2 linked regions of the Mytilus edulis genome follow. The protein of the gene in region 2 purifies or fractionates together with the protein of the main gene of each other region. This does not show direct contact. Links are inferred from orthologs where the notes say so. Each region holds a gene or a part of one and is shown on either strand. Other genes may lie near its edges. The genes, in order: formylglycine-generating enzyme-like and N-sulphoglucosamine sulphohydrolase-like.

Evidence for each region.
Region 1: the proteins of N-sulphoglucosamine sulphohydrolase-like (region 2) and formylglycine-generating enzyme-like purify together in Homo sapiens (co-immunoprecipitation; 3 studies listed by BioGRID and IntAct, with this or other methods). This does not show direct contact. The link is inferred for Mytilus edulis from reciprocal best matches to the Homo sapiens genes SGSH and SUMF1.

Annotation. Positions count from the first base shown.
Region 1 is NC_092344.1:86,298,693-86,305,982, forward strand, and holds the start of formylglycine-generating enzyme-like, read right to left. Parts: upstream 3,214-7,290; 5' UTR 3,086-3,213; coding exon 2,666-3,085; intron 726-2,665; coding exon 651-725; intron 3-650; coding exon 1-2. Other genes in the region: uncharacterized protein, read left to right, coding at 4,416-4,558.
Region 2 is NC_092352.1:65,483,035-65,491,159, forward strand, and holds the start of N-sulphoglucosamine sulphohydrolase-like, read left to right. Parts: upstream 1-4,965; 5' UTR 4,966-5,015; coding exon 5,016-5,112; intron 5,113-8,125. UniProt on the Homo sapiens protein: Catalyzes a step in lysosomal heparan sulfate degradation.

The sequences.
Region 1 (7,290 bases), on a different chromosome or scaffold from region 2:
ACCTGAAAGTACAGATTTATTTACATGTGAAATGAATGAAAGTTGATTTCTATTAAAATCAAATGCTTATGTTGCATTTACATCATGTATATTGATGAGTTTTAGTAAAAAGAACGTAATTTTCAGATTTCTTATCAATTATAAAAAATGTACCGATACATAATTAAATTGTTGCAATTTCTCTCATTCTACTGATAGGTTTAACAGAACTTATTTTATATATAATAAAAGAAGATGAATTTGTGTTTAACGTCCAGTGGTAAATACAATAACATGCAGTACATGGACAAAAACATGATAGAGTCAAATATATATGGATTCTGTTTTGTGCTTAACTGGAACTACAGATTTTTAATCAGCTAGTTAGTTCACAAGTTAAGCCTGCTTTAAGACATATTATGTAACCCTACCCTTACATGATATTATTCTGTCTCCTTGAAAAATCTACTCTGACTTAATTAATTCTTAATGCTACATGCTTTATATCATAGAAGCAACCATGAGTTGCTACTTTCAAGTTTTAATCTGGCAGACTAGGGATCAAATCCACAAACTCCATTCATTGTCAGAAGCAAGCATGGGACAACCATAGAAGACAGTTTCTGTTTGATTAATAACTAATGTTCATCTTGTTGGTATACCATGCTTACCTGTTGATTTACTTTTTTTAATGTTTCTTCACTCACATATTTATCCATTATAAAGGAATTTCCAAACTTTTCAGCCTAAAAATAGAAAAACAAAAACAATTCTACAATAGGCTATTTGCCAATTCCTGTAATTGGTCCTATTATTAGAGATCCCCTTTTCAGTTGTCTCCTTTATGAGGGACAATAGTTTTCATTAACAATGGAGAGCTAGCAGAAAGAGCAAATTTACCTGTGCATAATGTAAGTAATTTTTAAGGTTTTCATATCTTTTTATTATACATCAATTTGTTGTTAAGCTAAATACTTTTGATATCAGAAATTATTTTTCATGAAAAATTAATCAAACTGCCGCCACAGTACATAACTTTCAATTCATCATGCTTTGCATTGGCAAAAAATGATTTTGTCCGATATGGAACCAGTCTACGATTGACAAAGGGAAGTAATTAGTTTAAAAAGTGTGTAAATACAGTGAAACCTGTCCAAACCGAACACCCACGGGACTTTGCGTTTTGTTCGGTTTTCACAGGTGTTCGGATTGTAGAGGTAGACGGAAGTCGACACCAAAAAATTTTGGCAGGAATAATAGGTGACACAACAGCCGACAGTTTTTTTTTGTGTTGATTTAGATGTAAATGTAAAAATAAAAGAAGATAAAAGATAGACGTTTTGCTACATTTTTGTTATAAATCAAACGCCACTCTGTCAATCACGCTCATCGTTGGGAGATGTCCGACGTGGAGTGATTTTGCTTTTTATAATTATTTTCTCATCCGTTAATTCACTGACCAATTCAGATTCACAGTCACATGACGATTCCGTAGTTGAATCGGGAATGTCATTGTACACACGAGTTCTCGGACTAAACTGGTCACCCGCTGATTGATACTTCGGCACACGATAACAGTGAAACAACAGCAGGGGTCCAGTTTATTCTCGGACTTTATCGTTGCTAAATAGCGAGCGGAAGTCCTCGGGAGCATTCGAATCAAATACATTGTAGTATATAGGGCCTCTAATGGGAATCCAGCAATCGAAATCCATTGACCTTGTTGTGTTGCACGACTTCTTAATCCAGTGAAAGTCTTTAAAACTATTATTTAATTAAACAGTTTAGCTACAGAATGGCAGTTTCGATTTTGTGGCCGTAATTATTCTTGTCATTATCGGCGATGGGGGTAGCTGACCAGTTTAACGTTTCTTTACAAAAAAATCACTTTATACATGCACACAGACATGCTAATTAGTTTGTAATAACAACTCACAAGTTCATTAAACCTCAAATACCTTCGGGGATACTCTGCCATCCTGTGTTTGTTTAATTAAATCATGCAAATAATTTGATTGGTATTGATCGATTTTGACAGGTAATTTTTAGATACAAATTTACTAACGAGCCTTCAAAAAGCGTTCGGAATTCGGTGTTGACAGGGTTCGGTTTTTTCAGGTTAGATTAACGTTAATTGATGGGGAAATTTTGTGGGACTTTGAAATTTGTTCGGTTTAAACTGAAATTCGGTTTTATCAGGGTTCGGTTTACCCAGGTTTCACTGTATAACAGAATCAAATCACTAATTGGCAAATGGACTATTGAATTTCCCTTTACAGGATCATATTTACAAAAATGCTTGAAGGGCAAAACAGCCATTGGACGTCGTAGTCACAATGAAAGTAATATCAGACTACTTTCAGCATAGACCATTTTTGAGTTCTTTTTAAGAATAAAATATGCGATTGGACCAGAGGCCATTTGGAGTTATTGGGATAAAAAGTTTGTTTCCAGTTTTTGGAGAAAAAAAAATTTGTTTCTGATCCTGAGAAAAAAAATTGTTTGTTTCACCCTCAGCTGCCACTATATGTAATGCTAAAATTGAAAGAAAAAAATTGTTTTCTACTTCTCGCCTAAAAAATAGCAAGGAAAAAATTTGTCCAGAAAAAATCCATAGCCCCCCCCCACCCCCCACCCCCACCCCCAGAAAATCAAATGGTTGCTGCTTAAGATTCTCCTCAGTTACCTCTGTTTTGTAATTTGTCTTCGTCACAAATATTTCAAACTCTCTATTGCTAACTTCATATTTGTCTAGGTAGAAAGGGTTAACTTTAACTAATCTTTCCGGACCTTCTCCATCTACCATAAAAATTGGTTTATTTGTGCCCATAGAGAATGTTCCACCTTCAATAAAAACCATTTCGTTAGTCCTTTGGTACTTAAAATCATCTTTTTGCAAAAGTTCACTTTGTAGACCTTCGTCTTCACTGTCCACGTTTATGTTTATTTTTTCGTCATATTTAGATTTGTCACGACTAATTGAACAACCACACGATTTTTCCTTCGCACTGTTACAACTATCATCTTTGACATCACATTGTTCTTCAAGATAACACGCACAAAAACATGCAAACAACACAACAGTTCTCAAATGCGTCTGCTTCATCCTACTTGTCGCTTATATCATTTACTTATTGCACCTCCAGATAAAAGAAGTTTACTCTTCTACTTCTGTGAATAATTTTCCAGTTACGGGACACCTTTCTACTCATTGGTGATTCGATGGCAGATAGTGTAGAGTAGGGTGCTCATTTTCGCCATATCTTTCCATGTTATCTTCAGTTTATGTTCAGGTCCTTATGTTTTTGAAGTATACTGACATTTCTATATAGAGATAACTTCAAATGCAAAATATTCTTAGCTTTAAAACGTGTTTGTTTTGAGAAAAATCATTTGAAATGTTCAGTGGATTAAAGGGTGTTTGAAATTTCCTGATGTTTTGTCAACGGGGGACACATCGCCGTTGTTACACGTCTGTTTAAAACCAAATAACTGCAGCTTTAAACAATATGTATCAAATATATTTTATTATAGATGAATAGCAGACATTTGAAAGGTGTAAAAAAAAATGAAATTTAGGGCAATCAGTCAACATGGTCAAAGAATTACTAAAGAAATACTTCTTTGAAATGGTTTTTTCATTCAGGAAATTGTTCCAACCCCTGGAATACCCCCCTTTTCCCTGGATCCACAACTGGTTTGTAAACAAATATGGACATTTTGCTTTTATAGTCATGATTTTTTTTTTACAAAGTGTGCGGGCAAATTCATATCTCTGTGCAATGTAATAATGATAATACGTGTTAATTAACGGATATATAACTAGGGGGTTTGGGGTGGGGTGGAGAGAAAAAGAGAGACACTAGCTGTACATTATAAGAGGCTACAAACACTTCTGTACAGTATTGAATGAAGAAAAAAATCATTCAAATCGGACAAGAAATATCGCCAGCCTAGAAGTTATGAAAAATTAATAAACTTATTAGCAATCATATAACACATCTTTGTATTCTATATCAAATGGCAAACATGACTAAGTTCCACACATGAGAAATCATGAATAAAAAGTCATCAAAAGTGCCAAAAATAGGAGGCACAAATGAAATTTCTGTCCCTGTAATGCAAAGTTAAGTTATAATAGTATTAAAGAAAAACTGTTGCAGTTACTGATGGCACTGGCGACAGAACGAATTACAAAATAGACCAATTACTAGACATCGTTTTCTTGCGAAGCCTGTAAAATCTTAAAACTCATTGTAACCCAACTTACCCCCATCCCCAACTCACGCCTAATTGGTAGCCAAATGCGACAAAGAAACAAGTCTTCTACAAAAGCGTAGGATATTAACGAAAAGTTCTCTGAACAATGGTAATGACGTTAAAATGAAATCTCTATGACTACATATAAGTAGAAGACGTTTGACCACGTTACCGCAATGAAGAAACTACAATTTGCAAAAGTTGCACCGCTTGGAGTGAAACCGTCTGAAGATTATGATAAGAAAGGGTTATCGATTCAATCTGAATGTCCCAAGGATTTATTTCTGGCTAAAAAGGGATACCAACAAACCAAACTCTCGTAAGTTAAATCTATCAGTAGTATGGTGGCGCCATGATTTCGCGTTGTCCTTTCATATTTCATGAAGTAAAAATGAAAATTTTGATGAAAAGGTATGTTTACAATAAAACAGAATAAGACGCCTTCTTTATTAAAGATACTATGAATATAAATAAAATTCGGAGTATTGGTATGATTGCCAATAAGACATGCAACTAGCTCACGGTTCCAATATACAAAACACTATATTAATACCGCTATTCGTTTGAAAAAGGTTCTGTTGATATTTTACTCGTTCTATCACTATATCTGGATGCCAGAGAAGAATTGGCGTGGTTTAACTAATCAAAACCCGTCAACCGTATGCGGTGACCACCTGGATTGGTTAAAAAATAAATAAAATGCAAGTAAACTATGTTAGTCTTTGGCGATGTCTAAAATCGGCAAAAATTCACCGTCATATAGTTTGAATGGATCATTTCTGATGTTAATACAACTGGGTCGAGACCTTTGTCGGTGGACTGTTTTTCCCATTGTTTTGGTATAATATATTTTGCCGGAAAGTAAACATCAGTATGTTGATGGTTTTCTGAAACTAAAGAAGATTTATTAGTTATTTGAACATGTTTCCTGCGATCAATGATACGTGTACTCTAAGTAACACAAGAATTCTCGTAATATAAAATTATTTGGTGAGTTCAGATTTGACATCAAGAATGGTCCACATAAGGAACTACAACTAAAATTCGATCATATATAATTTCTACTCGTTTCATTTATAAGATTCGATCAAAATTTCTGTGAATCAAATATTTGTCATTATTCTGATAAATTAGTTAGATTCTTCTGTAAATGGTGTGAACATATGAAGAGAAGACGTGCCAAAAAATCTGGTATTTTTTTCAGATGATTTCTCAGATGTTTAAATACGGATATTGTTTTTACAAATTTGCTTCAATTAATAGTCGCAATGCGCATCTTATGCAGCTAAATTGGTCTCTTAATGTTATCATCTATCTACACCAATGAACAGGGTGCATTTCCGTTGCACCCCTGTTTTGGTTAGTGCATGTACGTTGCAAATAGGTCTCTTAGAAGAAGACACACATTCAATATAGTAATAAGAAAGAAATTATTTATCAAACAAACTTTTTTTTTTACATAAAAAGATTAGAAAAAACAACAGAGGACACTGATATTCTGTTTTATCGAGGTGTTCTAAAAAGGACTTGTAAATGTCAAAGTAATAAAAAGAAAATAATAAGTATTTATTTGATAAAATGTGCCTTTAGAATGTATAAAGATTGCCATGTTCCATCTAATTTTATAGTATGGTAAAAATATATAAATATTTCAACATTAATAAGATTTTAAAAACAATAACCTTTTAAACCTCTATCTTAAAAGGCTAGCTGGTTTATATAATATCATCCGCTTAATATATGTACTTCTTCCGTATATGATATTGTTTGTATGTACTTCTTCCGTATGTGATATTCTTAGTATGTACTTCTTCCGTATATGATATTCTTATGTATGTACTTCTTCCGTATATGATATTCTTAGTATGTACTTCTTCCGTATGTGATATTCTTATATGTACTTTTTCCGTATGTAATATTCTTATACATGTACTTCTTCCGTATGTGATATTCTTATATGTATTTCTTCCGTATGTGATATTCTTATATGTACTTCTTCCGTATGTGATATTCTTATACATGTTCTTCTTCCGTATGTGATATTCTTATATGTATTTTGTCTGTACGTGATATTCTTATATGTACTTCTTCCGTATGTGATATTCTTATATTCCACAGGAACCGTTGTAGTTAGGTGCCTTGTTTTCATAGCTGGTGGGTAAGGGGGACTTTCAGCATATAAATAGTCATGTTCGACTAGTATTGGTTGTGTTCCCCATTTTGAAAAACTAGTATAACAACAGTCAGATGATATGAAAGCGACTGATCTGACACAATGAGCGATTACACTTTCTCTGAAGAAAAAAAAAGAAATATAACAGCAGTGAAGTGACCTGACGCAATAGTTTCTAATAACATTCACAGATATTTTTCTTGTTACACTCACTTTTGGCATTTGGTACTGCTTTTTTTCATAAAAAAGAATGGCCAACGTAGATAAAAGTATGTTGTCTTAAGGAAGGATAAATCCTACTTTGTAAAGGATCACTCTGATTCAAACAAAAAATTCTCTGAAACTGACATTATCAAGATGCTTGATTTATTGATTGACGATAGAATTATTTGTTACGTTCGGAGGACGTGTTTTTCAACAGACTATCGGCATTCCAATGGGAACAAACTGTGCCCCTCTTCTTGCCGACTTGTTTCTTTATTATTAGAGGCTGACTTCATACAGGAACTTCTCAGGAATAAAGATCAGAATATCTTTGAACTCTACTTTCCGCTATATAGATGATGTTCTTTCACTAGATAATTCAAAATTTGGTGACTATGTTGAACTCATCTATCCCATCGAACTAGAGATAAAGGATACTACAGATACAGTTACGTCGGCCTCATATCTTGACTTACATCTAGAAATTGACAATGAGGGTCGGTTGAAAACAAAACTTTACGACAAAAGAGATGATTTCAGTTTTCAATTGTGAACTTTCCATTTTTAAGTAGCAACATTCCAGCAGCACCTGCATACGGGGTATTTATCTCCCAATTGATACGAAATTCCCTTGCTTGCATTTCCTATCATGATTTTCTTGATAGCGGGTTGCT
Region 2 (8,125 bases):
CAAGGCTCCGTGATGAAGGCCGTACTTTAACCTATAATGGTTTACTTTTTAAATTGTTATTTGTATGGAGAGTTGTCTCATTGGCACTCACACCACATCTTCCTATATCTATTGTCATTTTGGTCTTTTGTGGATAGTTGTCTCATTGGCAATCATACCACATCTTCTTTTTTATATTAAGTTAAAATTACCACCGACGAAGAAGACCAAAAAAGGGATATTTTCTTGAGTGTATGTGGGAAGAATACCTACAAATTAATAAGGGATTTATTAGCACCAGCCAAACCATTAGGAACGAAATCACTGGCCGATTTAACAAAACTAGTGAAAGACCACCGAGATCCAGTACCATCAGAAATCATTCAGAGATTTAAATTTAACAGTAGAACAAGACACAGCGATGAGTCAGTGAGGACATTTATTGCAGCACTAAGAAGTCTGACAGAACACTGTAAATATGGTGACACGTTATACGCAATGTTATGTGACAGGTGAGTCATCGGGATAAAGAGTCACCGCATACAGAGGAGGCTGCTAGCAGAGTTGAATTTAACATTTGAAAAGGCATTGGAAATTGCTACCACTATGGAGACTGCAGAGAAGAATGCACAGGACATCCAAGCGAGTGGGACAAATGCGACATTTCAGAAACAAATCAACAAAGTTTCAAAATCATATACAAGAAACAACTCTGGAAATTCGAAACAAAGAGATTGTTACCGGTGTGGAGGAAATCACTTAGCCGCTGAATGCAGGTTTATGGATGCAAAATGCCACAGTTGTAAAAAGAAAGGACATATCGCAAAAAAATGCCGTAACAAATCTGCCAATGGGAATTTAAGTGAAAATCACAGAGTTTAAATCACGTTTTAAACCACATGCTCATTTCATGGAGCAGGATGAAAGTAGTGAAAGTGAAAATGAACAGTCAAGGGTCTAACTTAAATAAGTTATCAGAGAAAAATAACATGCATGTGTTATTACAGACATTTTCATGAGTTGTCTACTCTTTACTAAACTATGAGCTGTTATATCTTTGCAAAGATTAGTATACATAAAGAAAATTATAATATTAATAGAATTTGAGAAAAATTTAACAAAATGAAGGTTGTATATTTTCCCTTTGAAACATGTAACATACATATGTTATCACAGTTTTTTTTATATTTTAGCCCACAATAACAACATGTATATTATTTATCTCTAATACCTTATTTAAGTTAGACGGTTTGACTGATGAAGTTTACTCAGTTTTTCATTTTGGAAATTAATCTAATGAGGCATATAAAGTGCAAATCAATGTGAATGAATGTGAAATAGCCATGGAAATAGATACCAGCACATCAGTTTCTATCATGAGCGAGGATACTTACAAGGATTACAAGTCGAACTTCAGAATCGAACCGACAAGTGCTAAACTCCGAACATACATGGGAGAGCAGATTCCTGTAAGTGCATGCAATCGTCAATGTCAATTACAAAAAGGAAAGCGCAAAATTACCACTTCTGATAGTGAAGCGTAAAGGTCCGAATTTACTTGGCCAAGACTGGTTGAACAAACTCCAACTGGATTGGAAGGATATTTTCTCCGTCGTTGGAAGTGATAATCAATCGAGTGATTTGAATGTGATCTTGGAAGCAAATAAGGAGGTTTTCAAAGATGAACTTGGAACTGTAAAAGGCATGAAAGCCAAGATTTATGTTGATGAGAGTGCCGTACCGAAATATTTATTAATTATTAATTATTAATGCCGTTTCAAAGTTTCAAACAAGCATATCAACAAATTGAACTTGATGAGGACAGTAAGAGGTATGTGACTATAAACTCGCATAAGGGTTTATTCAGATACAAATCATACAATAGACTTCGGTATGGTGTAGGGTCCAGCCCAGGTATTTTCCAAAGAACACTTGAAAATGTTGTTCAAGGTATCGCCAATGTGATGGTTCGAGTAGACGATATACTGATAACGGGTAAAACAAGGGAGGAACATCTAAATACTCTTTCTGAGGTTTTGTCTAGATTTAAGAAAATCAGAATTCGGTTAAAGAAACAGAAGTGTTTGTTCATGGCCAAAGAAGTTGTTTATTTGGGATTTAAAATAAACAAACACGGAATCTATCCAGTGGAGAGTAAAGTTGAGGCGATCGATAAAGCCCCAAGTCCAACAAACGTGACAGAACAGAAAGTTTATCTTGGAATGCTGAACTATTACAATAGATTCTTGGCGAGTTTGTCTCACTTGTTAAAGCCGCTACATGTACTTCTACAGAAAGACACAAAATGTAGTTGGGAAAAAGAACAGGAAAAAGCGTTCATAGAGTCAAAACAGTTGTTGAAATCCCCATCAGTACTTGTACATTTTGATTCGAAAAAGAAATTAATCTTAGCATGTGATGCATCTCCGTATGGATTAGGGGCTGTACTTTCGCATAAAATGGACGACGGCAGTGAAAAACCAATAGCTTATAAAATGTACATCGCGAACACTTACATCAGCAGAGAAGAATTATTCTGTTCTTGAGAAAGAGTGTCTGGCCATAATATTTGGTATCAAGAAATTTCATCAATATTTGTATGGACACCCCGTTACAATCATAACCGATCACAAGCCGCTCATACATGTGTAGGTTTATTTCGAGAAGATAAACCTATACCTACAATGGCAGCATCTAGCATTCAAAGGTGAGCACTGATGTTAGCTGCATATGAGTACACGATTGTATACAAAGAAGGGAGTCTGAATGGTAATGCGGATGGACTAAGTAGACTACCGCTGAAAACAAACATTGAAAAGACACCAACTCCAGGTGATACATGTACTATATTATTAATGGAACATTTAGCCACTACGCCATCCAGTTGATGCTAAACAAATTCAAAAGCGGATACGCAAGGACACAATACTGTCTATGGTGCTTAGATACATTTTGAATGAATGGCCGTCAAAATGTCCCAGTGAAGACATAAGACCGTATTATAGTAGAAAAAATGAACTGTGTAGTTAGCATGGTTAGGACGGATCCATATTATGGGGAGGAAGAGTACTTATATCACAACCAGGACGTGAAGCCATGTTAAATGAATTACACCAAGGACATCCAGGGATTACTAGAATGAAAAGTTTAACAAGAAGCTATATATGGTGGCCGGGAATGGACAATGACAGTGATTTGTTTGAGCCAGAAATAACTATACCAATAAGTACTCCTGAGACCTAACAACCGAAAATCGAGAAACTGTCAAACATGACTGAACAAATGGAACCACATTATCCGTAGAAAATAAGAAAAGAACCATCTCATTTAAAGAATTTTGTGTTCAAATAAATGGTTGATTTATAAAGAGGCATAATAATCCTTACAACCATTTGGAGTGCATTAAGTACTTCGCAGAGCATGTGTGTACATATCAATTAGAGTACGAAATAACAACAAGACCAGTGCGAACATTCTTATTTTTATTTTCATAGTAGGACATTATACATACATAGTTTCAGTGCAGACAAATTTTAACAAATGAATCTTTGTGATCTGAAATTTTTATTTGTTTTCAAACTGATATGGACTTATAATTATCAATCAGTAGCTGTGAAAAGACATTAATTTTCTGTACTGGGTAATTGAATTAATTTGTTTTTAATTTGTTTTTATCTAAGGCTGGAGAAGTGTTATAAAGTTCACCACACAGTGCACTTTATTACCATGTCATCTGTTACAGTAATTATAATTGACAGATCAGCAACTCTCACATGTCTGCACTTCTTAAATAAACATGTAATTACATTTGTGTAAAAAGATCAATTGAAGTTCTTATACACATGTTGTCATTCTGTAGTCTGACCATCAAAGATGTACTTGTTAATAAATTAGTTATAGAAACTTGATTGTATTATTACATAAGCAAATATATTACAGTTTTGAAGCCAACAGAGAGACAGAGCAGGGTGATAAAGGCGTAGGGATGGACGATAAATTTATATATATATAAATGAACTAAAATTAAAAAACATACAAGACAAGAGTGAACTGTCCTGTTTCACCAGGGGTCATTTGGAGGAAAACATGTCATTGGACATTGTGAATCGTCAATGCAAGATACACATGATACATTGTACTTGGGATTCCATGGTCTTACTTTTAAAATGCTTCCATTTTCTCCTCTTCTTTTGTTACAGAAAACCATCAACATACTGATGTTTACTTTCCGGCGCATGCCTGGTAAATGTTTTTTTTTTTAATAAATATGTGAATAATTTTTGTCAAAACATAGATTAACAAAATATTTCTTGTTCAAAGTTGTTTTTGGTCATATATTTGCGTATTTTCAATTTTTTACAATTTTTCTTTGTTTTTGATTTATGCAATTTTTTATTTAGTTTTAAATATTACATTTTTTATTTTTATTTTTTGGTATAAGATGAAAACAAGAGTATCTGTTTATTTCAGATGAGGGTAAGTATCAAGGAGCACATCGTGTGTGAGTGCATCCTTGAAGTTTTCTGTAGTAGTGTTTTTGGTAATTTCAGAGGATAGTTTGTTCCAGTCTTTGATGGTTTGACAGAAAAAAGAAAATTTATAGCTGTCTTTATTGCATTGAATTTGTCTGTAGGATTCTTTATTGGTGGATTTTACATGTTTCATATCATTTTTAATATCCTACAATATATTTTTTAGAACCATATGAGATTAATCAATATATGTGATTATTACAAACTAGTGTTTTTTATAGTTTTTTTTTTTATATAATATTAATAATAAATATGATGACGATAATGCGTATTTTCCTGTTTCTTCTGCATTAGCAAAAGTTATCATTTGAAATGCACCTATTTCAAACAAATGAGATAATAAGCCATCTAAACTTCTTAATGAATATTGTCTGCTTTACCTGAAATTGTTTAATTCTACGCCGACATCAATTTTTTCTCGCACCTGCAAAATCCAATGGTTGATTATAAATTAAGGGAGATAATTACAAGGGAGATAACTGCACAATTTCAGCATTAACGAAAATGAAAGTAAAAACGTTTCGAAATGGTTTTGTTACCACTTTTATCTTATTTCTTACAGTAGATTCTATCTCATCAAAGAACGTACTCATTATTATAGGTAAATCATTGTAAGATCATTGTAAAGTTCTGTTCTATTATTTTTTTTTAATTTTAAATATAGATATAGGCCTAGGGAGCTACCATTTGATTTTTATGGGGGGGCTAGGATGAAAAATTTTGTCCTGCATTTTTTTTTTGCTGTAATCTCTGTCCTGCCTTTTTATTTTTCACTCTGTTCGGTCCTGCCTTTTTTATTTTTAGTTTATCTTGACTTTTTTTTTACCTAAATTGTCGTCCTGACTTTTTTTTTGCAAGTGTCTCATCCTGCCTTTTTTTTTACTCAAAACTCCTGTCCTGCCTATTTTTTTCAAATTTCATCCTAGCCCCCCCCCCCCCTCATAAAAATCAAATGGTAGCTCCCTTAGATGGCTATGTACAGTATAGCTTTGTAAAACAAAAACAAAATTGTTCGCATCAGGCGAAAAAAGTTTCTGACTTGGACAATAAATTTAGCGTCAAGATATTTAGATTATAACATGTATAATGATTATTTGAAATAAATAGATAAAGAAAAAAATCTTAATTTGTGTGTGGTTTTATTTTTTAATATAAATGAATTTTCATTATTTTATGATCATGATGATTCAAAGAGCAATTAATGAACATGATGAAGAAGAAAATAAACATATGTTCAATTTTGTTCTAGAAATATTTTGTTTTTGTTTTCAAGGATCATGTTTAAATAGGTTACAGTTACAATGGTTACAGTTTTGTGTATTAATTAATGAATTGATGTTTATGTAGTTGACATGGTTGATATTTCAAAGCCAAAGGTTCAAACCAATCTCGTCTTTATTTAATTTACTAAAAAGGTCCATATATATATAAAAAATCAATGTACTGACCATTCCTATAAGGGGTTCTCTATTGAAAATAAAACTATTAACCAAAGACATTTGTAAATATTTATATGTCTTCGCTGTACACTGGGAACAGTATATCTATGTTCCTGCTGTACATAACAAAATTTGAAACTTTAGTTAAACAGCAAAGATTGGTTAAATCTACTTTAATTAATTGACTTTTCTAAAAATTTATGACATTAATAGAATATAAACTTAAAGGGATAGTAGCTACGATTTTGACAAAATTATGAACAAGTTTCAAAGCTGCTAAAATCAAAGATATGTACTAAATATAAGCAAATTGCTCAATTTGTATTCTTGTCACTTTTTTTCTTCTTATCATATTATAGATTTCTATAATGTGGATAGTAAGATATTAATGTAATGGTAAAAGTAATGTTATTTCAAATTATATTTTTATAAGGTCTGACAGACACCTGCTCATCGAGCTATATTGAGCCTTTTATAATCACTTGGGTTTCATTGGCTGTTAATTGTTCTTCATCGTCTCAGTCTGTTGGCTGTTAAACTTGTACAAAGATCATCTATGAAACTTAATAATTGCATGAGCCAATTTAAACTAAACTTGGCCACAATAATCAGGTATCAAGTTTAAAAAATGTGTCTGCTGACATGTCTAAAATTAGAACATAGTGGTAAAATGCAATTGTTGTCTGTTATTTCTTGAGAAACAGTAAATGACATATAAAGTCTAATAGGGCAAAACATGTGTAGGTGACAAGTAGATAAAATGTACTATCTGTCAAATGACTTTTTAGTAGAACTATTACACCCTAAAACTATGATTTTTCAGAGTTTATGCAGTTTTGCCTATTATCTTGAAATGTAAAAGATAGAATGTTGGATTACCAATAATGTTCTGCAAGGCAAGATCTACAAATAAGTCAACATGATCTAAATATTATTTGATTTCTTATTACTTAAACAGTCAGGGGTGCTACTAAATAAACAAGTGATTTCATTATAACCTATTTCAGTGATTTGATAAATTCACCTATTTTAGTGATTTTTGTGTTTCTTTTGATATTCAAATGCTAATTTCATTGATTTTCCATGTTTTCACAAACTTTTCTATAATTTTCTTACATAGATCACATTATCCCTTTTTCTATGGATATTAACTTCACCAGTGCGCTTGGGCAGTAAGTTTTCCATATTTTCACAAACTTTTCTATAATTTTCTTACATAGATCACATTATCCCTTTTTCTATGGATATTAACTTCACCAGTGCGCTTGGGCAGTAAGTTAGTGCGCTAAAGCTTTTAAAAGTACCCTTGGGAATTGTTCTGTAATCAAATATTCATTAACTACTCTGACTATCATGACTATCAGACAAAGGTCAACAATATTAGGTAACCTGGTTGGTTTTCTTTAAGAATAGAATGATATACTTCAAGGTTATATCCTGATCTACAAATTATTCCAGAAAACGCATGTTTTAAATAAATTGTAAAAACTGGCATTTAGGCTTATCAAGCAAAAGACAATTCCTATATGTATATAGTTAAGTTGTTTTTTTCAATGGAATTCTTGTCTTTTTACCAATAAAAAAATCAAGCTTGTGAAAAAAATATCAAGAAAAAGTTATAAACACTTATTGAAGTGATCTTCATAAATTACTTGTTTCAGTGATTTTAAAAAGTCTGTGTCTATTTATAGATTTTTTTTTAATATTTCACAGCCAAAATCACTTGAACAAGTGATTCTGAAATCACTTGTTTAAGTAGTACCCCTTGACTGTTACAGTGACTTGACTGTTAGTGTTGCTATCCACCAATTGCAACTCATTCAAAATTTTGACCAAATTGCAATTTGTTTTATAAAATCAAATTGTTCAACTGGTCAGAATATTGATCAAATTGTTCAGTCAAAATGTGAAAGTGCAAGGTGATAAAATAATATATACTTACAATCCTATAAGAGTTGTACTCCACTTTAATGATGTTATTACTAAATTTGTTTATCAATCTGTATAGTTATATTATAGCCATTACCATACTAAAGGTAAAATGTTTTATTTTGAATTGCTATAAAAATGTCCAAACTAAGCTTTTATATAGTTTTTCTTTCGAAAAGGATTTTATATTTATAAGAATCATATATCATTTAAAATAATACATCATATATTCAGTAAAATACGTGT